Diceros bicornis minor: one gene and its partners. The protein of the gene in region 3 interacts with the protein of the main gene of each other region in a pairwise test. Links are inferred from orthologs where the notes say so. Each region holds a gene or a part of one and is shown on either strand. Other genes may lie near its edges. The genes, in order: GOLGA4, SMC4, TRAF3IP1 and IFT20.

Evidence for each region.
Region 1: the proteins of TRAF3IP1 (region 3) and GOLGA4 interact in a two-hybrid assay, tested with the Homo sapiens proteins (2 studies listed by BioGRID and IntAct). The link is inferred for Diceros bicornis minor from reciprocal best matches to the Homo sapiens genes TRAF3IP1 and GOLGA4.
Region 2: the proteins of TRAF3IP1 (region 3) and SMC4 interact in a two-hybrid assay, tested with the Homo sapiens proteins (2 studies listed by BioGRID and IntAct). The link is inferred for Diceros bicornis minor from reciprocal best matches to the Homo sapiens genes TRAF3IP1 and SMC4.
Region 4: the proteins of TRAF3IP1 (region 3) and IFT20 interact in a two-hybrid assay, tested with the Homo sapiens proteins (2 studies listed by IntAct). The link is inferred for Diceros bicornis minor from reciprocal best matches to the Homo sapiens genes TRAF3IP1 and IFT20.

The regions. Positions count from the first base shown.
Region 1 is NC_080741.1:40,222,296-40,229,840, forward strand, and holds the start of GOLGA4 (golgin subfamily A member 4), read left to right. Parts: upstream 1-4,540; 5' UTR 4,541-4,557; coding exon 4,558-4,629; intron 4,630-7,545. UniProt on the Homo sapiens protein: Involved in vesicular trafficking at the Golgi apparatus level. May play a role in delivery of transport vesicles containing GPI-linked proteins from the trans-Golgi network through its interaction with MACF1. Involved in endosome-to-Golgi trafficking.
Region 2 is NC_080754.1:66,299,795-66,307,628, reverse strand, and holds the start of SMC4 (structural maintenance of chromosomes protein 4), read right to left. Parts: upstream 3,001-7,834; 5' UTR 2,828-3,000; intron 2,111-2,827; 5' UTR 2,101-2,110; coding exon 1,992-2,100; intron 1,155-1,991; coding exon 976-1,154; intron 505-975; coding exon 313-504; intron 1-312. Other genes in the region: IFT80 (intraflagellar transport protein 80 homolog), read left to right, coding at 3,366-3,449. UniProt on the Homo sapiens protein: Central component of the condensin complex, a complex required for conversion of interphase chromatin into mitotic-like condense chromosomes.
Region 3 is NC_080776.1:25,701,010-25,708,670, reverse strand, and holds the start of TRAF3IP1 (TRAF3-interacting protein 1), read right to left. Parts: upstream 3,011-7,661; 5' UTR 2,932-3,010; coding exon 2,809-2,931; intron 1-2,808.
Region 4 is NC_080757.1:19,128,176-19,135,526, reverse strand, and holds the start of IFT20 (intraflagellar transport protein 20 homolog), read right to left. Parts: upstream 3,013-7,351; 5' UTR 2,951-3,012; intron 2,909-2,950; exon of another isoform or gene 2,786-2,908; intron 1-2,785. Other genes in the region: TNFAIP1 (BTB/POZ domain-containing adapter for CUL3-mediated RhoA degradation protein 2), read left to right, coding at 6,490-6,694, 7,316-7,351. UniProt on the Homo sapiens protein: Part of intraflagellar transport (IFT) particles involved in ciliary process assembly. May play a role in the trafficking of ciliary membrane proteins from the Golgi complex to the cilium.

The DNA of each region.
Region 1 (7,545 bases), on a different chromosome or scaffold from region 3:
GGGCACAGATGTTAGCCCAGGGCAAATCTTCCTCAGCAAAAAAGAGGAGGATTGGCAACAGATGTTAGCTGAGGGCTAATCTTCCTCACACACACACACACAGAAAAACAACCTACAAATATATTTATATACAGATGATTAAATTTACATATCTCTATATTTTCATAACTACAGAAACCAAATGGAAATAATACAAACTAAATTATTAAAAGGGGTTATTTAGGGAGATAAGATTATACTTCTGTTTTTGTTACAGAAAGTAGATATTACTTTTGAAATAAAAAAGGATAAAAATACAGTGTGATACATAAATTAACAGCATGTAAGACTGAGGTTGGATAGAGGAGAGCATGATGAACTCCACTGATGTGTGTGTGTGTGGGGGATTTGGAGGCAGTGTTAGAGAATGCTCGAATGGGGTGATGACATGTGAGCAACATTATCAAGGGTGGATAAGTGGAAAAGGAAAAAAGGTACAAACTCATGAGGGACAATGAGTATACTGCGCTCATTAAGATTTTCACAACTACTATGTATAACTTGTAGACTAAAAAAAGAATAGCAAGGACGTATACAAAAGCAGTGTGCAAGGGAACCACAAGTTAATTTGACATTTCTGGAGCTTTGAAGTGTGAAGGGTGGAAAGGGTATAGTAAGAGGGAAAGCAGGAGCCAGGCTGCCGAGGGCTTCTTGTACTGCCTGGGAATTTAAACAGTGTTCTGCAGGACAAGGAGGCCACTGATGGGATTTCAGCAGGAGGGTAACATCAGCTATGTAGAAGATGGATTAGAAAGAAGCAAATCTGGAAACTGGGAGATCATTTAAGTGGTGAGGTATACTGAAGACTAAAACGAGTGGCAGAGAGAATAGGAAAGAGGATGGATTTGAGAAGTATTTCAGAGTAAAAGACACAAGACTTGGTGATTCTCTGGATATAGGTGAAGAATGAGAGAGGGATGTTTTAACTCACTTTCAAACTTTTAGCTTGGGCAGATGGAAATGACATCAGCCAAGCGAGAAAATACAGATGGTAAAACAAGCCTGTCAAGAGGAGAAGATGCAAGAAGTGAGAGGAAACACAGAAGAGGCCAATCTGATGGTGATGGTAGGGGGTGTAGTAGTGGATGATTTCAGTTTTGGACATGTTGAATTTGTGTGCTTATAGGCCATTAAGAGGAGTTGTCCAGTAGGCAGTTGGATGTATCAAGACTAGGTAATTCTGCAGAAATTTAGTGTCAGGCCCTGTACCACGCACTGGCTGACTTTTATGACAGGTATGGCTCTTGCCCTCCCAAACCTGAAAGCCTAGTGGAGATGCTATAATCAGGAGCTCAGGGGGAGGCCTAAGCTAGAGCTCTCAACATATAGATGGAGAGTGTTACAAGTAAAAAGAGAATGAAACTCTTAGAATTTATAAATATCATTTACTATGAGCTATACTTTATGTACATCATCTCATTTAAGCTTCACAACATTCCCATGAAACGTTAAAATGTTACAGATGAGGAAAATGAAGGGCAGAGAGTTGAGACTCAGAGGTCACAATCTGGCCTTTGAGCTGAATTTTATTCTAAGAGCTGTTTTGCTGCAGTCATTTAAAAATGTCTCGATGGGTTTGCACTATCTAGTTTGTTACTTTCCCTCATTGTCCATTGTCTTATATCATATGTGTTTCACTCATAACCTTTCTACTCCTTTCAGGGATTTGACTTTATATGTGGTTTATCTAAGTGTCAAAGGTCACAGTGCCAAAAAAATGGCTGACTTATATTTGAACCAAAATCTGCGTGACATCAAAGACCATGCTCTTAACGGCTATGCTCTACTCCTGTGGGTGGCAGGTATCAGGATTCTTGATGAGGGTTAAGAAAGCGTGTTGTGTGGTGATGCAAAAGGGCTGATAAGGCATTTGTAGAAAGCAGGAAATCAGAGTTAAAAGTTTCAGCTGTAATTGGTTCTTTTGGCTATGTCTTTTCTGACATACTATTTTCTTAGCTAAGGCTTGGAAAGGAACTTAATAATATGTAATAGTTTTCTTTTTTTTTTGTGAAGAAGATCAGCCCTGAGCTAACATCCATGCTCTTTCATCTCTAATCATCCATCCTCCTCTTTTTGCTGAGGAAGACCGGCTCTGAGCTAACATCTATCACCAATCCTCCTCCTTTTTTTTTTTCCCCCAAAGCCCCAGTAGATAGTCGTATGTCATAGTTGCACATCCTTCTAGTTGCTGTATGTGGGACGCGGCCTCAGCATGGCTGGAGAAGCAGTGCGTCAGTGCGCACCCGGGATCCGAACGCGGGCCGCCGGTAGCGGAGCGCATGCACTTAACCGCTAAGCCACGGGGCCGGCCCGATATACAATAGTTTTGTGAAGCACAGTCCCTAGTGATTATGTTATTCTGAAAATTTCCTGAAATATGGAGATGGGGATGGTATCTGCCATTGGAAGGAGTGAAAGAATGATAATTAGGTTTGGTCTATAATTATGAAGATTGCTTCTTTTTGTTAAAAAAGATAGGTACCAGTTCCACTGGGGAAATAAATTCATGAGGCCTCTGGTATTATGATTGGATGCAACCCATTTCATGCAAGGTGTGCTAGTCCTTGGGCAGCTGGTTAGATGAGTCCAAGTTACTAACATGGAAAACAAGGGCAGGCAGGGTGCTCTGGCTGGGTTGGTGCAGGACTCTGAGAAGTAGGCCAAGGCCAGAGCCTTCAGAAGGTAATTTGCATCAAGGAGTGGCAGAAGAATTGAGCATATTTTATAGGTTTAATTAGAACAGACAATGAGAGAATGTTAATTTGCAGAGGCCTAAAGCCAAATGGGCTGTGAGGAGGCTTAATGTTTCAACAAAATTGTGGTTAAATGTGATGGTTTCAACCCTGCCCCTCCTCTTCTCTTTTTTGTGTCCTAGCAAGGACATAATTAGCCCTCTTCTGGTCTTTTTCTTTCTCTAAGTAATATTTTGGATCTCTTTTTATCATTTGTTTATTACTTATTATGGCCTGCTTTGATAGGGCCCACCTACATGTATACACATATACACAAATATATACATATATACACACACACACATATACATATGTATAACATTGGCAACCTTTGATTTATAATTGTGAACGTTGGGGTGAGGATGCATATCAGGCATCGGCAGTCTGGGAGCAGCCGAAGGTCTATTGCCTTTACAATCTTGAGAGAGAAAGACCCCTGGAAAAAACAAACTCTTGGTTATTACATAGGTGTTCACTATGAGACTAGAGAGGACTTAGCCCAGTTGTCAATGCAGTGTTCAGACCAGGCCCTGCTCTGGCTCTAACACATTTAGGGATCAGGCTATGGAATCTTAGAGAGCAACTTGCTCCTATAATTGCTAGTAAATAAAATTTGCTAAAATGTGAAGATCAGCGTATACTCTCTCAGGTTCTGATATCTGAGGCGATGTGGAGCAATTTGGTACAGCATGCAGAAGTAGGTTGCTGAGCTGGATCTGAGGGTTCACAGACCGCCAAAGTTCGGGGTGTTTGATGAGTCAGGCACATCTCTTAGGACGACTGCAGGTGTTAGGGGTAAATCTGAACTCTTCAGGAACCTGTGTCTTTCATCAGGCTGTGAATTCTTTTAACATCCCCAAAGACCTGGCACTCACAATGATAAAAATTTTTGAATGAATATGTGAAAATATACGATTTCGGTGAAATAAAAAATAAAGGCAGATGTCCAAACGATTGAGATCTTACAACATCGGCCTGAAACATCTGGACCCTGGCGCCTCCCGTCAGGTACTTATTGACCCCTGGAAGAGTCCAGGAGAGGAAAGAGGGCCCCTCTGGGGAGCAGCAGGAGTAGTAGGCACTGAAGATACAGAATCCTCACCACAAATACTGAACAGAAGGACACTATCCTTCAGAGCCCCAGGCAGGTTCCCTGGAACACCCTTCTCCCACCCAGGACGCTCACATACTTGGTTCTTCGCTATGGGCCTGTCAGCCCCGCCGTCCTCAACAGCACCACCCTCCCCGCCTGACTTCGCAGCGCTGAAGCCCAAGTGTGCGTCAGTGAAGCGCTCAAACCACTCCTCGCCTGGATTCTGGGGGTTTCTCTGCACGCAACGACTTTAGGCAGCACAGGATTCTGCGTCTTCCTTCACGTCTCGCGTTCGGGAGCGATACCCCGAGCGCGCATGTGCTGGCCGACTTCGTGTGCTTGTCCCCTCCGGCGCTCCGTAGAGCTCCCTCGGCGAGCTCCACGTAGGCCGCGCAGGCGCTTTTGGCACATCGTTCACCTGCTGCCGTTGTCGTTGTCGCCGCCGCCGCTGCCGCCGGGGCTGGATGGGGGGCCGAGGCCAACCAGTGGCACCCAGAAGAAAGAGACGCGGCGGCGGCGACGCCGACACCCGCAGGACGAGTGTCCCGATCCTCCCGCGAGCCCAAGGAGGAGGAGGCGAGGCCTGGCCCCCGCGGTCCCTGGCGTAGAGAAGCCGCCGTCGCCTCCGTGGCGGGGTCTCCCTGGGCACTCGCCCCTCAGGTCTCATTCACACTCAGGACCCCGCGGTGCGCCATGTTCAAGAAACTGAAGCAGAAGATCAGCGAGGAGCAGCAGCAGTTCCAGCAGGCGCTGGCCTCCACTCAGGTACTATGGCCGCCGCTCTCCCCTAATTCCGGACACTCCTTGACGCCGGCTCGGGGGCGAAGAGCAGGGGAGGTTCTTCCGTGACCCTTGACCTCTAACATTGTAATTCGCCCAAACCCAGGACTGGGAATGAGCTCAGGGCAGCCTAGGTCCTCCGTGACTCCTGACTGGGGTCCCCCATCCCGAAACTCCGTTCGGGAGAGTGGGTGGGGGCGGCCGGATCCTTGGTAGCATCTGACCTCTGTTCGAGTTTTCCACTGATGCTCCACCCCGGCCTGAGAACCAGTGAGAGGGACTCCGATCTTGGCGTGATTTTTGACCCATATCAAAGGTTCCCCCGCCCATCCGAAACCCCAACTCAAGACTGAGTGTGGGATGGGAAAACCTGGGTCCCTTGTCATATCTGACCTCTTCACTGAAGTCCTCCCTCTCATCCCTGACCCGAAATTGAGTACGGAGGAGACAGGATCCCGCAGGACTCCTGTCCCGTGGCGAAAGTCTAAGTCCAAACCCTCGTCCAGGGGTGAGGGCCAGGGGTCGAGCCATTCCAGGCCAGGCTGCTTGCAGGAGCGTTGGAACCTGAAAGAGGCGACAGTGTGGCCGGCGTCCAGCGCCTGAGGCTGTCACGAGTTAGTCCCTTCGCATAACTTGGTTGATCTGGGCAGGCGGAGGGGCTGATACTCCGAGACCGGGCCCGGCTGCTGCCTGTCCACAGCCTGACTTCTGCTTCTTCAAGAGTCTTGTAACGTTTGTTTTTCACGAATAGAACTGCTTGAGGAAATGACAGTTTCCAGGAAAAAGGGAGCGTGTGAGTAGTGTTAATTTAAAGAAACAGTCTCCTAAGCGCCAATGAATGTGTGTTTTGGGTCTGGCAGCGCGTGGTCTCTTCAGCGAAGAGAATTTCTTCCCAGCCTTTCTGAGTCTCAACAGATTGAGCAAATCTCTTAACTTTAGAGTTTCTACAAGAAAGACTGAGTTTTAACTGGTTTGGAGGCATTTCTAAAACATTTTTTAACATAATATTTGTCTTATGCAACTTTTAAACAGCTGTTAACCAACTGATTAACAACTATTAAACAACTACTGCATTGAGTTTTTTCTGGAACTGTATATTGAAGTTCTGTTAAGCTCGTGTAGAGTAAAACAGTGCTTGAAATACATCAGAGCATTACGCTGAAGGCTTGTTCATTCTCCCATGTAAAATGTAAATAACGATGAAAATTTAAATAGTAAATATTTTATTTTTTGTACCATTTACTTCAGGCTTTTTAAACTTTACAAAATACGATTATTTAAGAAACATAGAAAAAGCTTAAAACTGAGGTACGGATGAGGCATGTGGGGAATGAGCATGTTAGTGAGTGTAAGGCTTGCTTACATTTGGGAATGTGTAAAATATCGTTGATCCAGGATTCCACCTCTAGAAATTTATTCTAGGAAAATTTAGGATGTATTAAAGATTTAGCCACATGGATTTTCATTTCAGTGTTGTTTTAATAGGTAAAAACTGGCTAAAAATGTTCAACAATAGAAAATTGATTAAATAAGTTACATCAAGTAGTCAGTTATTAGGCAGCCTTAAAAAATGCCAACACTTATTGGGTTTTTACTATGTGCCAGGCATTTTGCTTAATATTTTACATGGATTATTTTATTTAATTCGGACATAAACCCATGAGGTAGTTTCTCATTTATGGAGTGAAGCTCAAAGAAGTTGAGTGACTTGCCTAATGTCACACAGCTAGTGTTAGAGCCTACAGAAAAGTTTTATTAATACGCAAAGATATTTGTGTTAAAAGACAGATTGAAAAGCAGCATGTGAAGTGTGATCCCAGTTTTGTGGGAAAAAATACGTATGTAAGTATATATACAGACAGTGAAAATAGTTTAAGAAGGAGATGCTCTAAGGTACTGATGAGATCTTATGAGTATTCTTTTTCATATTTGTGATGTTTAAATTTTTCTTCATGAAAATGAATTTGTACGTTAGCAAAGAGAGATTGTTTTTAGAATAATAATAAAAAAGCTATAGTTACAAGCTAACATATGAGAGCTTTCAGTTTCTATAGGTTGATGCTTCTGGTCAGACAGTGCAACTGGGTCAAATAACTTTGTGTACAAAAGATTTAAAACAATCTTCTTTGATAATATTTATATTTATCCGGAATGCAAAAGTAAATTGTTAGTGATGAACTACTGATAGAAACTTGATTCTCTTGTGGTCTCAGATCCTCAGCTATTCAGAACCCTTCAGGATGAGTTCTGGATTATTGTTTTCAGAGTTAAGGATTTCTTTCAAACATGAATTAAAAAACAAAATAGAAAAACCTTTTTTTTTTTTTTTTGGTGAGGAAGATCGGCCCTCAGCTAATGTCTGCTACTCCTCCTCTTTTTGCCGAGGAAGACTGGCCCTGGGCTAACATCCATGTCCATCTTCCTCTACTTTATATGGGATGCGCCACAGCATGGCTTGCCAAGCAGTGCGTCGGTGCGCACCTGGGGTCCGAACCTGCGAACCCCGGCCTGCTGCAGCAGAGCCTGCGCATTTAACCACTTGCGCCACCAGGCCTGCCCCAGAAAAACCTTTTTTGATGACAATTCTTTTGCAACAGATTACACGTATCTTTGTTTTCTTAAGCAAAAGATCTTGAATTTGTATATTATCATTTCTTCATTTTTGTATAAATTGTCTCGAAGGCACCATGCCCTCAAGAATTTAATGGGGTGTAAAAGCCAGTTCCCTTTTACCCACTCAAGCGAATTTGTTTGTTTGTTTGTTCTTGGACTACTTATAATTATTTTTTTATTTTTATTTTTAATTTTTTTGCTGAGGAAGATTTGCCTTGAGCTAACATCTGTTGGCAGTCCTCTTTTTCGCTTGAGGGAGATTAGCCCTGGGTTAACATTGGTGCCAGT
Region 2 (7,834 bases), on a different chromosome or scaffold from region 3:
TGCCTATTTAGTTCTTAGGATACTAAAACTGCTCAATGTTTTATTTCAAAAAGGTAAGCACTACTATGAGCTACTTGTAATTCATTTCCCTGGCTAAAAATTTTAATATTTTAAGTTTAATGGCAGCCACCACCACTCCTCAAAAAGAAAATATGGTCATGGGGGTAATGAAATCAATATCTGTTCTGCTTTAACCATATACTAATATTTGAAGGCCAATTTAAGCCAAAAATAATAAAATGTGCAATGTATTGAAATCTTTTGTGTTCCTTATTTGAAGTTACAAATAGCTAAATAGTCCAAGTCCCCTACCTTATCAATTATCTTTTGAAAATGAACTTCTACAGTACAACTCTGAATGTCCTTGTGTTCATCAGAATTGTGTATTAGTACCGAGAGTTTTTTAGATCTTATTTTTTGTGCTCGATAGCCAAACACAAAAAGCATAGAATCAATAACATTGGATTTGCCACTGCCATTTGGTCCAATAATACAGGAAAAGCGCTGCATAAAAAGAACAGAAAAAAAAAATAAAGTTAAAAAAGTCATACTAATTCTACTGATTTTAATCTGCTTGATTTTTTTACCTGCAGCAAACTACAACTATTCAAAGTTTTTACTGCTAGAAGATAACACAACTTAAGTTGTCACATCATGTTCTCCTCCATCACAAGCTTCAACACATTAAATAAGACTATATTCTAATTCTCACTCAGAGTTTTTACAAAATTCATTCTAATAGAGAAAACACACCCTTCAAACAAAAAACTCACCAATTCTATTTAGCGAGGAAAACTTTACAGCATAAAGAGGTACCAAAGATAACCAGATAAACAAAAGCTAAATCCAGTGGTTAAAAGGATAGGAAACATGCCCTGTGTGTATTGATCAGGATAATTACAATAGTTACACAATTGAAACATCTTATAATAAAGACACATTACCTTATAACAGTTATTTCAAATGGTCAAATACCTTATGAAAAGGGCCCAGAATTTTTTCCCCAGCATAGGATTTGAAGTTCTGGTTTACAATATGAGTTATCATAAGCCGAGGAGCTCCAGCTTCATTGGTCATTGCTGGAGGTGGGGGAGGAGGGATGCTATTTAGAATCTCTTCTAAACTTCTATTATCAATTTCCTCACTTGGAGTCTCTAAATCAGGCAGAGAAAACGGAAGGCAAAGGAAAAAAAAATCTGCATTAGTGCAATTAGTTCGGAGGACTAATGCCTGCTAATCTCTGGAGACATATTCTTTATGAACCTTTATTTTCCACTTAAATATAATACTCTCCTAAACTCACCGGGGATAAGAATCTTTCAGCTTGGTTTTATTTAAAAAAAAAAAAAAAAATTGTTGAAAGAAATGCCACCAGTCACAAAATTCTATAGAAATACACCTCTTAGGAATCAAAACACTACATCATCAAGCAAATCTGGGGAAACCACAACAACCTAATTCCCTGCTCCCGCCTAAACAGGTGGTTAAATGCAGCTCTCTCCGTCTCTTTGAGACGGAGCCTAACTTAGGGTTAGCCTGGAACCCTAACTTCGGACACTCACGAGCTCCAGCGATACTGTCACAGGAGTTGCATAATGTCATCCAACTCCCGGACTCACAAAAGCGATGCGGTTCCGAGTCAATTCTCATCTTCTGTTTAAACGCAACTGAAGACCCCGGAGGTGAGGTGAGTAAGTGTCAAGCAACTTTTCATCGTATTAGCATACAGGCAGGTTGCTTCTGTCGGACACTGGCTGCCCGCGCCGCTTGCCGCGGAAACACAAGGCCACAAACGCACACTTGAAGCCACTGCTCGCCCCCATCCCCTCCAGCACCGCTACAGAGACAGTGCGCGAAGTCCAATCTCTGAAAATCGCCAACTCGCTTTCTTGAGCTGCTCTGGGGGCCCGACACGCGACCTCCAACGCCACCCCGCAGCCCTCCACCCGCTCCCCGCGCGGCTCGCTCCCCCGCGGGCGGCCGGCACTCACCTGCGGCCTCGGCGGCCGGGCTGGCGGCGCGGCCGGGGCCGTCCGGGGACCGCGGCGGCCCTTCCTCTCGGCGCCGGGCGGTAGAGGGCTGGCTGCCTCTGCGGGGCATGGTGGCTGGGCTGGGGGAGGGCGGGAGCCGGTCAGCCGGGCCCGGCCCGACGGGAAAACCCCGTCCTCCGGGCCCTGAGGGCCGTTCTCCAAGCCCGCTCCGGCCAGCCGGCCTCGGGAAGGCAGGCACAAGACCCCAGGTGCCCGGCGGCGGGGGGGATCGCTTAGATCCCAGTGCTAAGGGAGCGGGGGAACCCAGACGTGCCCGGGCCTTCGGTCCTTCTGCTTTCTGTAATGCCCCCCATTCGCCCACGGTACAGGAGTCACAGAATGTTCTCGTGTCCTCCTAACCGAGGTCACGCGCCCGGAGATGCCATTCCCGCCTCGGGCCGGGAGACTCCTCCAATGGCCGCCCGCCGCGGTCGCCCGCTCCCCGCTTCCCAACTGGGCGCGGGTAGCCGGGCTCGGCTCAGTCACCCGGGCGGCGGCGTCGGTCCCTCGGGGCGCGGCACAAGCCGCTGGGTCATCGACTACGAAGGGTCAGCAGGACGGGCTCGGACCCGCGGTCGGGGTGGGGCGACGCCCCTGCCCGGGAGAGCCCGTGTTCCCTGGAAGAGCTCCGCGCGGCCGACGGACCCCCGACGGCGGCGGGAGCGCGGGGGAGGGGTGACAGCCGGAGAGCCCCCGCCGCAGCCCGGACGCGCCGCCCGGCGCCGGCCTCTGCCCGGGGCCCGCCGACGGACGAGAAGGGAGAGTGGGAGAGCCTGGGCAGGAAGGAAGGCCTTTACCTGCGGACAGTCCACTCAGACCGGGGCTGGGACCGGCTGCGCAGCCCCCGGTCTCCTACCGGTGTTTCGGCTCCGGGTCCTTCACTCGAAAATGGCGCCTAAAATACAAACTCGAACGGAAATTCGTTACAAATGCGCGCAGTGCTTTCTGGGAACCACTAATTTGAAAAAAATGCGGCGATTATCACCGCCATCTTCTGGTCGCTCACGCGCAGCCGCGAACTCTTGGCGGGACCCACGCGGCAGGGGATGTTTCTACTAAGAGAAAAGGAAGAGCGAAACAGTGTTTTCCCGATGGCCTACGGCAACACCACTTTTATAACAAATTAAAAAAAGAAAAACAATCTGGCGAGTTCTGAAACACACGAAAAAAAAGAGTGGGGTTCCGCCCACAGCTAGAGGCGGGGCTCAGTCGTCCAATAACGTCCCTGAAGGAGAGGGCGGGCTCGCTGAGGGCGGGGCCTCGGGCCCGCTCGGGTGGCGCGCGGCGGTGAAGTATCGCGGGAAGACGCAGTGAGCGTAGATCTTAGAAGTCACTATGGTGACAGGGAGGTTGCGAGGCTGCTTGGTAACCGGTCCTAGCTCTGCGATAACAAGTGCCACCGCTTTCCTGGACCTTAAGGTAAATCTCTTCCCTTCCAGACGTCGTGCGGAAAGGGTTTGGAAGTTGTGGCCATCACTGGATCCCACCATCCTGCTTAGACGGTGTGTGCGGCGCAGAGCGTCAGTTGTTTTCCGTCTCCCTGGGGGCAGTGGGGCTCTGGACGGAACTTTTGGGATGCCAAGGAGGAAGCCATGAGTGTGGAGGGAGTGGTGGGACAGCAAGGAGGAGAGAGGACCTGAATTGCTGAACGATCGTGTAGTCCACATGTGAAAAGCAAAATAACGATTTTGATTTACTGAGGTTAGGTCATTAGCGTCACTGGTGAAACGGGGTTTTGGGCCTTTAAAATCATTTGACTGAAAAACTCCGTAATGGAAGAAACGATTTGCCAGTGTCATCTGGTTCTCTTTATGAGAAAATTATCGATCGGCAAATATTTCTTAAGTAGCTTTTGTGTATATTACACTGTGCAAGGCATAATCAGGATTATTAAGCAAGTATTCCTGTTCCAGAGATGTTAGTTTTGTTAGTGGGTTTTTAATCTGGAATCTGTGGATCTGGTGGTAGGTGATTGGGCGTCAAAGGAGTTCATAACCCCCCCGGAAACTATATACAAAATTCTGTGTGTTTGTGCATTTTTCTGGGGAGTTAGTTTTCCCAGAACTTTGATCAGATTCTCAAACGTGGTCCTAATGCCCCACAATGTTAACTGGTTGATTTGACTACCTTGAGTAAGTATTTATTCAGCGACTCTTACGTACTTGACAGTGAGAACTGGGACCGTCTTTTTTTCCTTTAACTTTTGTGTACTTAGGGCCTGGCATACTAAAGCACCAATAAATCTGCTTTATGAATGAATTTACGTTGTGATTCTAAGTAAGTATTATGACTTTTGCCCTGAGGAGCGTCAGGCCTGGTCCAGGGATTCTCAAGAAGGGGTGTGAAGGACACTCCTTGCAGGTGTATTAGATGAGGTTGGGAAACTGTGGTTTGAATAGATATTATAATATACCTTTACATTTGAAGTTGAAAAAAGAATTATTATTTTCATAAGACAAACTACAGACAATAAAGCTCAATGAGAGAAATTCTTTGGCATACCAAGAAAATGTAGCAATTCTCTTTGAGAGCTTCTGGAATCTGTTGGATTTTCGAAGTTTGTAAAACACTGCAAAACCTGAGTTGGAGAGATATCAACCATGAAAAAAGCAGGTCTAGACCATGTTGAGTGGTGTATATGGGAGATAGAGCACAATGTAGTAGAAAGATGTAACGGAGAAAAGAATCCCAAATCCTATCATTTTTTAGCTACGTTCTTGAACAACTTAATTTATCAACTCTCTGACAGTATTTACTATAAAACCAGCATATAATACCCACCTCATAGGATTGGTTATGATTGTTCATCTAGCACACATGCTATATGCATTTGATATTGCTGTGTTCATGACATTGACCTTCTTAGGGTATGTGCTAAGGATGAATAATGGGATGTCAAGTTAGAAAAAGGTTAACTAATGAAGGGTCTTGAAAGCCAGGTCAAGGGTGTTAGATATGATATGGAGGAAACACCTATTAGAAAAAATTTGAGCTAAGGAATGACTTGGTAAAAAACAAAAATTAACAGTAGTTATGTGGATTGTGTTAAAGGGGAAAGAGACTGAGATCAGGCATGACTTAGTTAGATTATTACTGTACAGTCCTCCATGTGGACGGTGAGAAGTGCCTACAAATAGAATGGAAAAAATCCAGACACATTTAAGGGGAAAAAAATCTATAGCTTTTGCAGATTTTAATGGTTAAGGGTCTAAACCCTGGGCCAGCTCCATGGTATAGTGGTTAAGTTTGGCAGACTGCACTTCAGTGGCCAGGTTCGTGGGTTCAGACCCCGAGCATGGACGTACACCATTTGTCAGCCATGCTGTGGCAGGACCCATGTACAAAACAGAGGAAGATTGGCAAAGATGTGAGCTCAGGCTAATCTTCCTCAAGGAAAAAAAAAAAAAAACAAGATTCGCAACAGATGTTAGCTCAGGGTGGATCTTCCTCAGCAAAAGAGGAAAAAAATAACTGATAAAGGTTTAGGACATTTCCAGTACACTATGATCTCAATAAATGTTCTTTAAAAAAAAAGAGTCTAAACCCTTAAAGTTAGTCAGATACCGTTCTTTGTTTATAAATCCCTGAATTAGTGATGAGGGGATAGGAAGAAGGATAAGTCACAGATAAATCCTAGTTTACTGCCTTTGATGATTACTGTAAATAATGGTAGATCTTAACGACTGATGAAAAAGAAATATAATTTCAATAGATCAATAAAGTGATCGATGGCTTTAGATTTAGTTGAACCTAACCATGTTCCACTCAGAGCAAATATTTTCAAACAGGCTTAAACTGAGGGCCGGCCTGGTGGTGTAGCGGTTAGGTGCGCGCGTTCTACTTCCGCGGTCCAGGATTCACAGGTTCGGATCCCTGGTGCCCACTGACGCACCACTTGTCAAGCCATGCTGTGGCGGTGTCCCATATAAAGTAGAGGAAGATGGGCACAGATGTTAGCCCAGAGCCATTCTTCCTCAGCAAAAAGAGGAAGATTGGCATCGGATGTTAGCTCAGGGCTGATCTTCCTCACACACACACACAAAAACAGGCTTAAACCAGGTTGTATAATGTAGAAAAGGCATTCATAACAAACAGCTACAGAGTAGACTTAAGTCTAGAGTGAAAGTAGGACGCTGAATAAATGAAGAAGTGATTTGAGAAGAGATCAGGGTCACAAGAAGTACTCGATTGAGGCCTGCTAATGCTTTGGATAAGTCTCATGAAATTAACAGAGTTTAATTATAAAAAGAAGCTGGTCCAATTGGAATGGACTAGGTTACAGTCATTTTGGAAAGTATAACCAAGTTTCATCTTTCTGGTCCAAAATCATCTACTAACAACCGTTATCTATACTGAGTCTGAGAGGAGAACTTTCACATTTTACATTTTAAAAGTAAAATTGTATCCCACAGGAAGAAATAAGAATAAGTTCAAAGAGAAGAATTGGAATTAGAGTTAAAATCCACATTTATAATTCTTTAAGTGCGTGGTTAAGTTTTGTTATTATAGCAATAACATGTGTTTTGTCTGTCTTCTAATGTGGTTATAACATTTCATTGTCTTAAATTAGATTTGTGGGTAAATGTTTAAAAATATTAATCAAGTTTGTAATTGTAAATATTTGGATTAATTAGATATTAACTAATAATTCAAAATGAACAAATAAACATGAATTTATGTAACTAATGTATAAATACTTAGAGAATATTATTCAAGATTAATAAATAGGATATAGACACAGGACAGATAGTAATGAATATTCCTCTTGATAATATAAGCCCCCTAGTACATTAATCTTGCTGAAACTCTCATCCGTCTTAATACAGAAACAGTAGGAAGTGAAGAAGTGGAACAGTTTGGGGAGAAAGACCGTTTTGAAAGATGAGTTTGTTTTTATTCATGTAGGTTGGGATTAGGAAAGATATATCCAGTGGGCGGTAGAGGTGGAGAATAGGATAAGAGAGAATAGGCTCAGTAGAGAAAACAGGATGAGATAGTGTTATAAGAATAGTTGGAATGCTAAAAATAGATTAGGTTTTTAAGGTTGTGAGTAAAGAGAGGATCACCCAGAAAATGTCCATTCTTAGAATCTAGGAAGAAGAAATAATTATAGCAATGTTTCAGGTAGGACTCTCTAGATTATAAGTGACAGAAAACCGAATCCAAATTGTCTTGAGAAAAACATATTGGCTCTCATAACGAAAAAGGCAGATGAGTATAACTGGATTCAGTGTCCAAACAAAGACACCAGGATTCGGATTCTTTCTTTGCTTTCCTTTGCGTTCCTTTGTCGTGGCATTGTTCTCGGGCTCCATGTAGTGGCCTCTGGCACCTCCAGGCTCTCCCTTTGCTGTGGTAAGATATAGTAACTCCAGCCTCAAATCTTCTAAAATTAAGGACTGAGGGTAAGGAGAGTTTTTCTTCCCCATGATTTATTTGAATAAAAGTCCTGGGCCATCTGTGAAACAGTCTTAGTACAAAGGGAATGGAATGCTCTAATTGGCTTAAATCTGGGTCTCATGCTGGCTCCATTCAAGCCACATGGGCTAAGAGTGAGAAAGTGGGTGTTCCAAGGAGAAATTCTTTGTAGCTAGGAAAAGAGTGAATATGTGAAGAGTGACAAAGACATCAATTTTCACTACAAAGATCTAATGATTGTTAGGTTCTTACTATGTTCTAGGCACTCTACTGGATATTTTACGTCCTTGATCTCATTTAATCTTCATAACCAACCTGTGAAGTAGGTATTATTAGCCCCATTTTATATAAGGAAGAAAACAAAGTACCGTATCTGGAAGATTACT
Region 3 (7,661 bases):
AGTCAGGCAGGGGCCTGGCCTGGATGGCCTTCCAAGCCATTCAGGAATGCGGACTTAGTCTTGGGAACAAGAGGAGGCCGTGAGAGGTTCAAAAGCAGGGAATGGCATCTTACAAGGGTCACCCAGGCTTGGTGGAGAGAATGGATCTTGGAAAAAAAAGGAACTTCTCAGCCTGGGTTTCTGACAGTGGACGGAAAGGTCTTCCTCACCACTGTGCTGCTCACTTCCTAGGACACAGGGGTGCTCTCTGCCGTATCACTTTTGTTCTCTCCCCTAGTCAACCTGTACCTCCCAAATACCCCTAAAACGAGCTCTTGGGTGGTGATTTTCTCTGTTCCTCCCCACCCCTACACACAGCCAGGGCCCTGGGTTCCCTCAGACACAGTTTTTCAAAATGTGGTAGATCACTGTAAAATCAACATAATGGGTAGCAATAAGCATTTTAAAAAAATGAAACAGAAAAGAAAATATTAGAATGTATTGTATGTGGTAAGGATGAATATGTCTATGGGTGAATATGTCCTGGGTGGATACAGAGCATATTTATTACTGCATGTTCAAAAAAAAAGAAGACAGTCCCTCTGCTAATATCAGGCTCCTTCTCTGACACCAAGCTACAGCTAGCTATTAATTAAGTCAGCTTTCATTCCTCATCAAACTACTTAAGAGCTGTGCCATTATTTTTCCTGATAAGACAGGTGGAATATTACGAGTATCCTGCACTTAACATTCTTGGAACTTTTTCATTTTGTCTCTTTTGAGGTTTTCCCAGTTTGCTTGCAATTAAAATTGTGAGCAATAATTTTAAGTGATGAGACATTAATGTCACAAGATCAACACTTGGATTTATAAAAGAGGCAGAATTAGTTTAACTGTAGCTAAAATACTAATATGGTGACTTGACTATAATGCTCAGGGGCAGTAAAGAATTTTCATAGAGGTTCTTCCCCTATTATCTAAAAATCCTTTCCAATATTTCAATCATCCTAATATCTTTATCAAGTGGGTGACAATTAACATATTTATCTTTACACCGGTAGAGAAATTCATTTCGGCATTAGATTAGGAAAAATCTGTGAAAGAAAAGCAGGTGAGTGGCTCCTGATAGGGAACGCTTCACTCCTTCCACACAGCCTGGCTACCTGGCCAATCACACCAATTCCTGCTTGCATGTTCCTCCTCCTCCTCCATTAAGATGCCCTCCGACCTTCCAGGAGGTGGGGACAGCAGCCACCGTGAGCCCAGCCCCACACCAAGACCCACAGGATGAGGCACGTCCCCCCGCCTCCTCCCTGGCTCTGTTTCAGCGGGGAGACAGGACTAACACAGAAAAGTGTGAGGCTGTGGCAGCAATTGCCGCAGTCAGCCAGGCTGACTGACTTGTTCCCTCCTGGGCTGGAGGACGCTACTTCACAGGGTGGAGGCGATGCAGCACACAGCCCTGTCCCTTCCCCAGACACTGTCCAGGACAGGTGTAAGTGCTGCACTAGCTGCACAAGGAGGCAGCGGCCAGTCAAGACGACCCTTGGGATGTGGATGGGATTCCAGAGAATTTTAAGCACAATTAGGGTTTTCAGCACAGAGGCACACATTATAAGCTAAATTAAGATGGCAGAAACAAGCAAAGAAAAGTTTGTGGAAGAGTAAGATGCCCAACCTGTTGAGAAGAGTGAGAAATAAAGTTTGAGGACCAACACAGGGTGAGATAGCAGCCCCCCGAAGCCTGCAAGTTCAACGTGATTCCTAATTCCCAAAGAGCATGCCTGAGTTCCCAGGTTCAACACGGCCCCCCCAGGTGCACCATGGAAATGGGCGATGCCACCCTGGGTTACCAGGAGCCTTGACAGAGTCCATTCAACAATGAATGTTTGTTGTGCACCTTCTGTGTACCGTACCCAGTGCAGCTCACCCAGGATATGCCAACAAAGAAGTTACAGTCTCCATCATTCAGAAATTCACCATCCAGTGGGGAAAAGTTACAGACAACCAAACACCACTCAGGGCAGGCTGTGCCATTTACCAGCAAACACTAACCTGCTCTTTTATAGTTTTTCCTTTCGGGACCCCCTACAACCACCTTCAGTAAATTCACCCACAGGTATTTATTAAGTATCCAACATGTGGTGACCACTGTGCTCTGCAGTGCAGTGGGAAACTTGACCGGGGAAGGGGGGGGGGCGGTATAAAGAAGAATAATTTCATTCTCCCAGGATTTCTGAGCACCTTCCACGTGCTAGGCACTGCAGGAAAAAAAAATCACAGAAACAACTCTGCCAGGGAAAATGGAAAATGTGCTCTAACAGATACACGGGTAGGCTGGAAAGAATTAATGCTCCCTGAGGAGCTGGGAGTCTCCCCGGAAGAGGCAGCCCTGGGGGATGGGTGAGAACAGGAGAGCAGGGATGAGCGCGAGGAACTCCGCGCAGAGGTACTGCGGAATTGGGCCCAGTGGTCGCCCCTCCCGGCTGCAGGCCAGGCCAAAGGCCGGGCTCCTCGGGCAGGCGCCGCGCACAGCGACGCGAGGCCGGACCCCGACCCCCAACCCCGACTTGGACCGGGGCCCTGACCCCCAGCCCGCCACCCGGGCGAACCCCTGACCCCCGCCGTGGGCCCCGATCCCCAGCCCGCACCCCGACCCTGACCCCGGACTCGCACCCCGGCCCCGACCCCCGCCGTGGGTGCTGAGCCCCGACCCGCACACCGGCCCTGACTCGCACTCCGGCCGCGACCCCGACCCGCATCCCGGCCCCGACCCCCACCGTGGGTCCTGAGCCCTGGCCCGCACCCAGGCCCCGGTCAGGCGCCCACCTCCGTGATGATGTCGTGCAGGTAGCGGAACGGGGGCTTGCACAGCAGCTTCTCCGTCAGCGGCGGCCTCCGGATCACCTTCCCCAGCGCCTCCTGCGTCCGCTTCACCACCGCCGCGTTCATGGCGGCGGCGCCCGCGCCCTGCCGGCCCGCCGAGCCTAAGCCCCACTGCCCGGCCGCCTGCAGCACCGCCGCCGCCGCCCGCTCCAGCCTCGACGAGCCGCTGGGGTTTCCATCCCACAGTGCACCGGAGTCCGCCAAGGCGCGTGCGCGGGGCCGCGGCGCTCGGTCGCCAGGGCGGCGCGGCCCTAGAAACGGACGCTCCCGGCGCCCCGCCCACCACCCGCCGGCTGCGCGCGCACGCTGGGTCGGGTCTGCGGGAGGACGGCCTCAGCCTCCCGGTGCGGGGACAGCGCCCGCCTTCTCTCTGGGCCCTCACGACAGCCTCAGGAATCGCCCCGAGGTACAGGTGACCGCGCTTCCAGACTTCCAAGATTTGTGTTGCTCCTTTCACAGGTTTCAAGGGGACTGAACTAAGTTGTCTCAAAAGACACGGGTTAGAAAATGCCCTATCCTGTCTGTTACTTACTATGGCTTCTTGGGCAAGTAACTCTTGGTCTCTGAGATTTCGTTTCTGTTCCTATGAAGGTAGGATAATAATGTGCCAGCCTGCCTCCCTAACTGCCAAATGACGTGCCAGCGCTTTGTAACCGGGACGAAGCCACGCCCTGCTGTTCTACCAGGTGTGTGTGGTTCCGTCCCACCGTCTTCCATCCGCCATGCCCAGGCTCTCTGCAGGTCCTTCTAGCAATCTGGAAGCTTTGTGGCCTGTCTTTAGTTCTTCTGATGGATATCTTCATAACTTTACATTCATTTTTGCTATTTTCAGTGCTCTTCATTCTTTGTGTACATCCAGATTTCCACCTGGGATCATGCTTCTCCTGTCTGAAGAACTTCCTTTACCATTTCTTTTAGCACAGGTCAGCTGGCAATGGATGCTGTCACTCTTTGTCTGAAAGTCTTTATTGCACCTTCACATTTGAAAGATAGTTTCACTGACTATAGAATTCTGGGTTGACATTTTTGTTTCTTTCAGTACTTTAAAGGTTTTACTCCATTGGCTGCTGGAATATATAGTTTCTGAAGAGAAGTCCCCTGTGGTTCTTATCTTTGTTCTGTCTGTTGTGTCTCTGACTGCCTTCAAGATTTTCTTTTTATCATTGGTTTTCATAAATTTGTCCATGATGTATGTGGGGTTTTTTTGGGGTTTTTTGCTCAAATTTGTATGTAGGGGCCAGCCCAGTGGCATAGTAGCTAAGTTCGGCACCCTCCACTTCGGCGGCCTGGGTTCGCGGGTTCAGATCCCTGTCAAGGACCTACACCACTCATCAAGCCGTGCTGTGGCCGTGACCCATATACAAAATAGAGGAAATATTGGCACAGATGTTAGCTCAGGGCCAAGCTTCCTCAAGAAAAGAGAGGAAGATTGGCAACAGATGTTAGCTCAAGGTCAATCTCCCTCACCAAAAAAAAAAAAAAAAATTGTATTTGATTATTATTTACATACAATAAAATTCACCCATTTTAGGTGTGAAAGTTGATGCAGTTTGATAATTATATACAATTATGTTGCCACCACCATGATCAAGATATAGAGCAGTTCCTGCACACCCTAAAATATTTCCTCCTGTTCATCTACAATCCATCTCCTCCTCCCCTGCCCCCAGCCCTAGGCAAATCTGGTTTCTGTCATTATAATTTTACCTTTTCTAGAGTTTCATGTAAATAGAATCATACAGTACATACATTTTTTGTTTAATTCTTTGTCTTATAATATTTTTGAGATTCATCTGTGTTGCTACATCTATTGATATGTCATTCCTTTTTGTGGCTGAGTAGTATTCCATAATACAATTTGTTTATCCATTTACCAGTTGATGGACATTTCGTTTGCTTTCACTTTTTGATTATTTACGAATAACACTACTAAGACCATTCACATCTAAGTCTTTGTGTGAACATAAGTGTTCATTTCTCTCGGGTAAATATCTAGGACTGGAATTACTGGGTTGTATGGTAAGAATATGTTTAACTTTACAAGATATTACCATACTGTTTTCAAAGTGGCTACACCATTTTTCATTCCCACCAGCAACATATGGGATTTCCAGTTTCTCCATATCCCTGCCAACATTTGATATGTCAGTCTTTTTAACTTCAGTCATTCTAGTGGGTGTATAATGGTATTTTATTATGGTTTTAATTTGCATTTCTCTAGTGATTAGTGATTTTGAGCATCTTTTTGTATACTTGTTGGATATTCATATGTACTTGGTGAAGATAGCCCATAAAGTATCATTCTGGCATTTATGGAATGACTGCTATGTGCTGAGTACTGTCTAGGTGCTGCAGATTTCATGCGGAACCATGTACCTTCTAGTAAGCAACATTCACACCGTCCACTGCTGTCCACTGCTCCTGGGAACATCACTCTCATTGTTGCTAACTTTATGCGGGATGATGTAAGCGTCGGTCACCTAGACAGAGGCCAGGTGAACCGCCAAGGCTCACCTCCCTCCAGCAGTGTCAACCTCGCTTCTTTCCACGATTTACCACGCAGGTGGGCTGGCTGTAGGCAACTTTACTGAGAGGTTGAGAGAAGCCTAAGAGAGTGACAACCCACGAGGGAAGGAATTTGACAACACTCACTGTATACAACTATGCCGTGATCAATGGGGAAAAAAGCCCCCAGCAAATTGCACCCTTCGAGGGAGTCCCCCCCGGGTAGCCTTCAGTTGTTAACCCTGCTCCCCGGCTTCCAGATCTACCTCCTTGGCCAGAGCACCTCCATCCTCTGACCCCTGCCTTGTCAAATCTCCCTGACTTTCTGGAAACCCCACCCTCTACCCATGGAAGCTTTTGTGTCTTCCCATCCACTCCCTTTCTCTCAGCACTACATTTCCCAGAGTCTGGGTTCTCCAGTCCAGTCTCACACCCCAAGGCCTTGGCAGGACAGTCCACTGTGGCATTCAGCACCTGGGTCCCTTAGAACAATCCAGGGTGATGGACACTGTGAATTGGTCTCCTTCCTGGGCTCCCAGGTTCCTGTTATTCTCCTGATTGTCCACACACTTATCTTTATCACATGTGTATCTGGCTTCCCAAGAACAAATATTAATTCAAACAGTTCATCAAACCCCATAAAGAAGATTAAAATAGTTTCCCAGCTGCCTTATCATTTCTGAACATCCTCACCCACACAAACTAATACTTCACATTCACATGGAGAACGGTGTCAGCTCCCTTCCTTCTCCTTCCCCACCCACCACCCCATCCCCACTTCAGGCCCCCAAGGGGCTTTTAAAAGGGGAGACATAGTGAGACTGCATACTTCTTCATGGCTGGGCCCTTAGTTCACAAAGGCTGGCCCGAAGATCTGAAATGATGAAGCCCTGAGACAAAGATACACGAGCTCCCTGCCCTCCAGGTGTTAAGGAAAGAGAGGGTAGGATGTCATTCTCACAGGATGGCCAGGTAGAGCCCCTGGGGGCTGCACCAGATGCAGAAGATGCTGTGGTGTCTGAGAGCTGGAGTGTCCCACCAAGACATCTTCCCTGACCTGCTCCCCATGGCCAAGCTGAGACCCCAGAAGCTCCTGTGAGGAGCAGCCACCTCTGAGCTCTGAAAATGACTGTGGTCAGCCTGAGCGGGGATGGAGGGGAGACTCAGGCCTCTGACTCCAAGTGCCCTGCCTTCTTGACAGACACTCCCCAGCTCCCTCCCCGGAAAGTTCATGCCAGGCAGAATCCTTCTCTGGGCCCAGGGCTGTAGGGGCAACCTGCTTTTCTGTGAGCGGTCAACCAGAGACCAGAGCGGTAGGGAAGGTAGGTGTGGCAGTGGAGAGCCCTCTGGCCACTGAGGTTCCACTGAGGACCTCATCCAGTGCCACACGAGGGGGAAGCCTAATTCTGATTTCTCTCACAGACTGTGGAGAGCAGAGGGGTCATCTAGGCCGAGGAGACCCTTTGGAAGCCTGAGGGCACAGGTCTTGCTATTCTCCTGAGGACCACAGGGCCATGAGAGAGGGTCTGAGAGGATCTGGAACAAGGGAGCGTAGCTGCCCTACCCCACTGAGGGCCTGTCTGGGGGAAGGTGGCCGTGGAGTGGACACTTGTCCCTGGAGGTCACAGCCTCTGGGGAGTGTTCTCCTGGCCATCCACTGTGTCCTCCTGAGGCCACAACACTGCCCCTAGGCAAGTCCATCCCTCCACACAAAAGAGCAGGAGGGCGGTCTGGGCCCTGGGAAAGCAGGGCAGAGAAGATGCAGCTGAGGAGTCCCGACTCCAAGAAAGAAACCTGGAATCAGGACACGGGGGTGGGGAGTGCAGAGGCCAGCCCGGAGCCTCCAGTTCTGGGCACAAGCTGGATGGGGGGCCCTGTAGCCTGAATAACCCTTGAGTGCCTCAGAGTCATGAAAGGATGAGAGGAAAAGGCACAGAACATAAAAAAAGTCATTCATGAAAAAAAGAAAATTGATTAAATAACTATAGAAAATTGCAGCAAAGAAAGAGTTTGAAACACAAAAGGCTGGCAGGAGATGCTTTTGAAATAAGCAGGTTCTGAATAAATGAATGAATGAGATACCCATGGTCTTGACACCCCAGGAGAGAGAGCGCCGCAAAGCCAGATGTCTCCAGGCCCTGTCTCCCCTGCCTGAGAGGCAAACATTCCCCAAGACAAAGGCCTGGAGGGCCAGCCTAGCCCAACCCTGAGCTCCACATCTGCGAAGAGCCCAGGATGTGGGTCAGCCTGCGGGAAGGGTTGGGGAGGCAGGTACCAGGTGGGAGGAGAAG
Region 4 (7,351 bases), on a different chromosome or scaffold from region 3:
CGAGAAAGGCATTCCAAGCCGAGAAAACAGCATGAACAAGAGCCTGAAGTCACTGAAAGGGCCTATCCTGCCTAGAAGACGACAGGACAAAGGATGGAGCTGGAAAGGTTGGTTGGGGCCAGAGCAGAAAGACCCTGTGTGCCAAGCTAAGGAGTTTAGGGGCTTCTTCTGTAGGCAGGAGAACCAGCAGAGATATCCTCTCCCTTCCCAGGCCACCTTGCATTCCTGCTCCAAAGGATGCCTCAACTCTGGGAAGGAAACACTGACAACTCACCCTCATTCTGGCTTAAAAAAAAAAAAAAATTCCAAAGGCTCCCACCACCTGGCCTTGAGCTAGCCCTTCCCTTTCTCCCACCTCTCCCAGCCTCACCTGTTTCCCTTCCAGCTTCCTTAGAAGAGTTCAGTTCTGATAGGGGTGATTCTGGAAGTGACTGCCCAGAGCAGGTGTACCATAGGACCAATGGTTAAAAAAGAATTAAGTCCCACTGTTGCCAGAACTGATTTTCAAGAGGATCAGAAATCCAGATTGATATATGAAATCTGATTTTTAAAGGAAGGAAAAAAACACATCCAACACTGTGTGGGCCAACTAATGCATGTCTATAGGCTGTCTGTGCATGACTGTGGCCCAGGGCCTTTGGCCTCACTGGAATCCACTGAAGTAAGCAGGCTAGCATCTTCCTTTTGAAACATTTTAATCATCCAGAGCTTTCTTATAATCAGGCTTTTTAAAAAGATCTGTCTTCCTGCTTGATCTGTTATATTTACACATATAATCTAAGCATTTAACACCTACCAGGTGATTAATCAGACCTGCTGCTCTAGAAAGCTTCAATTAACCTTCAACTTCCACTCGCTCCCCTGCGAGTATGCATTTATTCAGAAATATCTACCGAGTCCCTGCTCTGGTGATAAGAGTAGTGAAGAAAATGCCTTATTGCTTTAGTTCCTGACTTCTGGACAGACAGCAAACAAATAATCACAAACTGTGATAATAGTATGAGGAAAAGCACATGGTGCTTTTGATACCAGCTCAACACAAGGTTGACATAAGGGAAGCCATACTGTAGAAAAGAAACCCTACTGTAACTTTGAATGACCTCTGACTAACTAACCCAGCTGGATATGCACCCTCCAGGAGATCTAACGGCTCTGTAGATTTTACAACCCCTGCTTGTGTATGTACCTCCCCGCTGCAATAAGAGGATAACTTTGTGCTTTTGAGTTCCTTAGGAATGTGATGACGCCCAAACAGAGAGTCTATGCTGAGAGCCATCATCAATGAAACTGAAAGATCTGGTGTGGCGACTCCCAGTCTGTAACACCAGAAGGTCGACATTCCTAACCCCCTCCCCTATACCCCACGGGCCTATATAACTGCTGTAAGATTTTGTGCCCCCTGAAGATGGTTCTTTTGGGCATTAGTCAGCCATCTTCCCCTTGCTAGCAAGCTGTAATAAATAGTCCTTTCTCTCCTACCTCCTTGCCTCTTGACTATTGGCATGTCTTGCGGCGAGCAGAAGACCTCCACTTGGGGGGTAACACTATGTGAAGCTGTAGCATGAGGACAGAATTCATATGGGGGGGGTGTCAACAAAACCCTTCTGAAAAAGTGACACTTCAGCTGAGACCTAAAGGATGGCCAAAAGTTTGTCAACGGAAGGGGGGAGGAGGCATTCCTGGCAGAAGGAAAAGCAAGTGTGAAGATCCTGAAGCTATAAGAAATTTAATGCATTCCACGAACTGAAAGGCTAGTGTGACTGAAACCCAGTGAGCAAAGGGGAGTGTGGAATAGGATGAGGCTAGATGGGGAGGCTATAGCTGGATCACGGAAGGCTCTGAAAGCTGCAGTAATGAGCTTGGACTTTCTCATAAGGGTAATGGGCAGCCAGTGGATTCTCAACAGATCTTATAACAAGATCTGCCTTTTAGAGAGCTCACTCTGACCCAGAATGGAGAATGGATTGGAGGGAACAAGGTAGGGCTACACCTACCTTCCTCATCACTGTAACCCTGGCATCTAGCATGGTGCCTGCTAGATGTGGCACTCAGTAAATGTTTGTGGAATGGCTGACTGTGAAAACAAAGGAGCCCATTACAGTAACCAAAGATTGGAGCTGAAGAAAAGTGTTCTGAGGTGAGATGTTTTGTAAGTCGAGTTGATAGGACTTAGTAAAGGATTGATTGAACGTAGCGGTTTGGAGATGAGTAAAGGAGAGTCAGGCAAGATTCCCACGCATCTGGCTTGAGCCAACTGTACGGCTGGAGAGGAGAGTTGAATGAGATGGGTAAGACCGGAGAAGGAGCGCAGGGAGAGGGCTCGCAGCCGACTATCGGATTCACTCCCAACTCCCACCACACGCGCGTGTCTGAGCATCTGAGGAACACTGGGCACAAGGCAGGACTGGGCTCCCCGAAGACGAGGGCGGTGTCGCCCTCTCCGCCCCCGGGCTCTCCCCGATCCACGCTAGGCCATACGAGCCTGCTCCATCCATGCGGTGTGGGGAGAGGGCACTAGGGGAAAGTTAGGAAAGCCTGGGTGATGGAACCGGCTTTACTACGTAAACTCCTTGAACTTATCTGGGCCGCAGTGTCCTCATAAGATCGTTCCGAGCCTCAACGCGTCAAGCTCCAGGCCCAAGCTAGGCGAGAAACCGCTCCCAGAGAGCGAGCGGAATTCCCACGTTTCCTTCGGCCTGGGACTGCCTTTCCTCAGGGCGCGGGCCCGTCAGGTTCACCTCGCCCCGGGTCCGCCCGCGTCCCCGGACCCGGAGTCACGGCCTACCTGCCCACCGGGTACCGCGGCGCGCCGCGCCCCAGGCTGACGTCGGCGGGCAGCTTCTCTCTCCGGTCAGCGGCAGCCGGTACCTTACCCGCCCGCCTCAGCCGCTGCCACGGCTACAGGACCTGTTTACCCATGACGTCACTACCTAACACCGGAAGCACTTACCGCAGCCCAACCCGCAGAGCCTGCGGGAAAACGGAGGTCTAAGAGGAAGGACGGCTGCCTACAAGATCCAGAGGCCTTTGCGCCGGAAAGGCCGCCGGAAGTAGCTGTGCGCTCTCAGCGGAATACTCTCAGGGGCTCCTCCCTCCTCCCTGATTGGGTGTTAGGCATCCCCGGCCTCAGCGTGCCATGCTCCCAGATCGGCGGGGCTGGGCAGCGGCTCGGGGTGGAGTTCGCGGGCGGAGGATGTGAGCTCACACGCTGGGATTGCTGGCGGGCAGGCGGCCACAGTCTGGGGGCGGCACGGTGTCGGCTTGCAATCCAGCTGAGAGGAGAGGCACCCCCGGGGACGGTGAGAGTCGGGTCTGCCGATGCCCTAGGGGAAGGGATGGACTGGCCGCGGACTGGAGCAAAGAGACCCCCACCCGGTGCTGGGGAAAAGGCGTGGGACGGCGTAGGGGAGATGGAGAGCTCAAATCCTCCCCTGGGAGTGGGTGTCAGAACCGATCCCGGTTTCTCGGTAGTGAGGTGGGGTACGGGCTGGGGAAGACTCGACACTGGGCAAATTTCCCGTGGGTTGGGTCTCGCTAAATCTCCCCAGACCCTTGGGATGAAGCCGAAAATTTACACCTAGCATTTCTGCTAGATCCGCCCTCTCTAGACCAGATCGGCCCCACTCCCCCGCCTCCGCCATCCTCCGTGTGTGACGGATTTCTGGGTCCTTCTTTCTTTAGGACCCCACCTTCTTCCACAGCTGTGGTTGTCTGCCCTTTATTCTGCTTGGGTTCCCTTTAGCTTCGCTGAGTGAGACGCGGATACGCCCCTAGCCCCTGGCATCCCCAAATATCCACACACAAAGTCCGGAAGGAAGAGCGCTGAGGCTATCAATGGAAACTTCATTCTCACTGGAATTACTTTCTGGGGCGTCACCTGCCACAGGATTCCTGGAGCCCATTGGCCTGGGCGGAATCTGAGCTGACGTCATCCATGGGCTCAAAGCAATTGCTTTGTAAGAAAGGAATAGATTAGCTCTGGATTTGTCTACCTCCGTTGGCAACCGCCTAGCCTTTGAGCTCCTTTGCTTTGGTAGAATATGTATGTGTACTTTCTTTGATCCTGGGGAAATTGGGGCTAGACACAGAATACGTAGGTAACTTGCTAAAACCTGTTGAAGAATGGATTTATTCCCTTGGGGTGGGCGGAGGAAGGTAAGGTGATCTCATACCACTCACCATTACTTACTGATTGGGCAGTCTGCTGGTGAGGGCTCAGCTCATCCATACTCCGTCTTGAAGGCAAATGAGAGTCTCCTGGACAAGCCCACTTGCTCTCTTGCACCCTTACAATTCATTCTCTACGCAGCAGCCAGAGTGATTTTTTTCAAAATGTAAATAACTCAGGTCATATCACTCCCCTGCTTAAAACCCTCCAATCGATTCCCATTGCAATTAGTATAAAATCCACTCTCTAATATGATCTGGCCCCTGCCTTCCTTGACTTGAAATCAAGCCAACATCCCCCTTCTTTCTATGCACCAGCCATCTTGGCCTTGTTTCTGTTGCTAAACCTTGTGTCTAACTGAGGAACTTTGCCCTTACTCTTCCATCTATCTGGAATGCTCTTTCAGACCTCAGCTGGAATGTCAGCTTCCTAAAGAGGCTTTCCCTGACCCCCTGTCTGAATTAGTGCTTCTCACCAGTCACTCTCTTATCTCTGTTTTATTATCTTTATTACATTCCTCACCTTCTGGAATTGCCTGCTTATTTATTCATTTTCTTGTTGTCTGTATCCTCCCACTAGAATGTAAGCTCCATGAGGCCATAACTTGTTTGTTCTTTTCTGTATCCCCAGTGCCTTGCATGGAGCAGTGGCACAATCAATGCTAACTCTTAGTATTTTTATTCTTGTTTACATTATGATGCTTCTTTGAACTCCTTGAAGGCGAAGACGGTATCTTTTCATCTGTCTATTGCTACTGCTTAACATAGTAGGCACTCAATATTGTTTTATTGCTGAATGAATTAAATGAGCTAATATATATTAAATGCCTAGAATAGTGCCTGGAACATAGTAAACATGCGAAGAATGTTTGCTATTATTTTTTTTTCAGTGACTGAATTTCAGTGATTCTTTAGAAAACCAAAACATATAGCATCTAAATCATGAGGGGTGACCTGGCTTTGCTCTCCTCTGCTTTCCTTGCCCTCCCTCCTCTGAACTCCTATCAGTGTTTCACTTTCCAGATCACTTAACTGTTTTTAGATTTATCATCTGTTTTTTTCTAGCCCTTTCTCCCCATTCTTGTTGGGAGGGAAGAGAGGAAGAGATAGGGCTGGGCCGCCTCTCAGGAAAAAGAAGCAAAAATAGCCATCCTGTAGTTGCTCTGTCCTGGAAAATGGTGACAATTTCAGGAACTTAGGACAGGGCTGATGCCAAGAAAGAGGAAGGTCAGGAAACCCCGGCTGGAGCCAGAGTAGCCCCTGCCAGGAACACTGGCCGACTCCCTCCAACCTGGCTCCTTCCATGCTCTCCTGAAGCTGCTTTTACTTGCCTTCCTGAAGCCAGACTCCGGGTGGTGCTCCAAGTAAGAACTGGTGCAGGCTGCTCCTGAGCCTGGAATCTTTAGAAAGGAAGCGCATCCTGTCACTCGGGCTCCTGGGAAACTCCCAGGCTGGCTGGATTCCCAGTATGTTTGGCTGGAAGTCTTGGATCCTGGGAACCTTGAGAAGAAAATAACTGGAATCTGACTGGTGGATCCCCAGGGTGGGGACTTCTGTTCTGCCCAGTCTGTTCCTCAAGCCATCTCTGACCAGCTCCAAGGGTTTGCTTGTCCTCCTTGCCGTCCAGAGCTGAGCTGGGTCTCAGGGAGGCTGGTGAGGTGACCAGTTCCCGGCTCTGTGAGACTGTGCTCCCAAACCTGATTCCTGGTTCCATAAATAACAGCAGGAGTGTCTTTCTTTCTTTCTTTCTTTTTTTTTTTTGTGAGGAAGATCAGCCCTGAGCTAACATCCGTGCCAATCCTCCTCTTTTTGCTGAGGAAGACCAGCTCTGAGCTAACATCTGTTGCCAATCCTCCTCCTTTTTTTTTCCCCCAAAGCCCCAGTAGACAGTTGTATGTCATAGTTGCACATCCTTCTAGTTGCTGTATGTGGGACACGGCCTCAGCATGGCCGGAGAAGCAGTGCGTCTGTGCGCGCCCAGGATCCAAACCTGGGCCGCCAGGAGCGGAGCGCGCGCACTTAACCGCCAAGCCACGGGGCCAGCCCCAGGAATGTCTTTCTTAAGGCCTAGGGCCTTAGCCTCTGCCAGGGAATCTAGGGCTTATTAAGGAGAGAATGACTGGATAGTCAGTGTTTCTCCTCCTGTCCCCTCCTGACTGAGGGCTCTCCTCTCCTGACTTCTGTCTTCTCTCCCATCTCCTGCTCATAGCACTGAGAGCATGAGGCTCTGGCCCCCACTGGCCACTCACTTGTGACCCTTCCACCACGGTGGAGCCTTCCAAGCCGACCTCCTGCCGTGTGGTGATCTACCTGCAGCGGGAGATGTCAGGGGATACCTGTCTATGCCCAGCCTCAGGGGCCAAGCCCAAGCTAAGCGGCTTCAAGGGAGGAGGCCTGGGCAACAAATACGTCCAGCTCAATGTGGGCGGTTCCCTGTACTACACCACCGTGCGGGCGCTCACCCGGCACGACACCATGCTCAAGGCCATGTTCAGCGGGCGCATGGAGGTGCTGACTGACAAAGAAGGTGAGGCATTGGGGCTTAATGAGTGGGGTGGGGAGGGAGGGAGGAGTTCCTGAGGAAGTGACTTCAGGGCAGGGCTTAATGCCGACAGTTCTAGAATCTAGATTCATTTTTCCAGTTCACCTGGTATACGACTCCTTCACCTGGAGTGCTTAGTAGAGCTTCGGAATTCTTTGAAATTGTACATAGAATGTTGTGTGTTTATGCATTTTCCAGAGAAGATCCATACTTGTTTTATATTCACATAGGACTAGATTCTCGTAAGAACCATCCCTGTAGCAACTGGGCAGTGGGCAGAAGGCAAGCAGGGCGTGATGGGTTCTGTGTTGCTGTGAGGTGGGCCTGAGCACTCCTGAGCTTAGATCCCTGTGGGCCTCCACAGAGCCTGGAGGGCCCATTGTCTTCCAAGGCATGTGCCAGTTCTTGGTTTCAGGGAGGAGGAGTGAAGAGCAGCCATGGACCTAGGAGCTAGAGGTTCTGTTCCCATTTCTGTTACCCTGTGCCATGGGCTCTGTGCTCATGTGCTCCTTGCCACCTGCCACCAGGCTCGTCAGGTGGCCTTTGCTTGCTTCTGAGGTACCTGGAGGCAAACAGTAACCCTCTGGGGCCTGTCTGAATCCCTAGGCTGGATCCTCATAGACCGATGTGGAAAGCACTTTG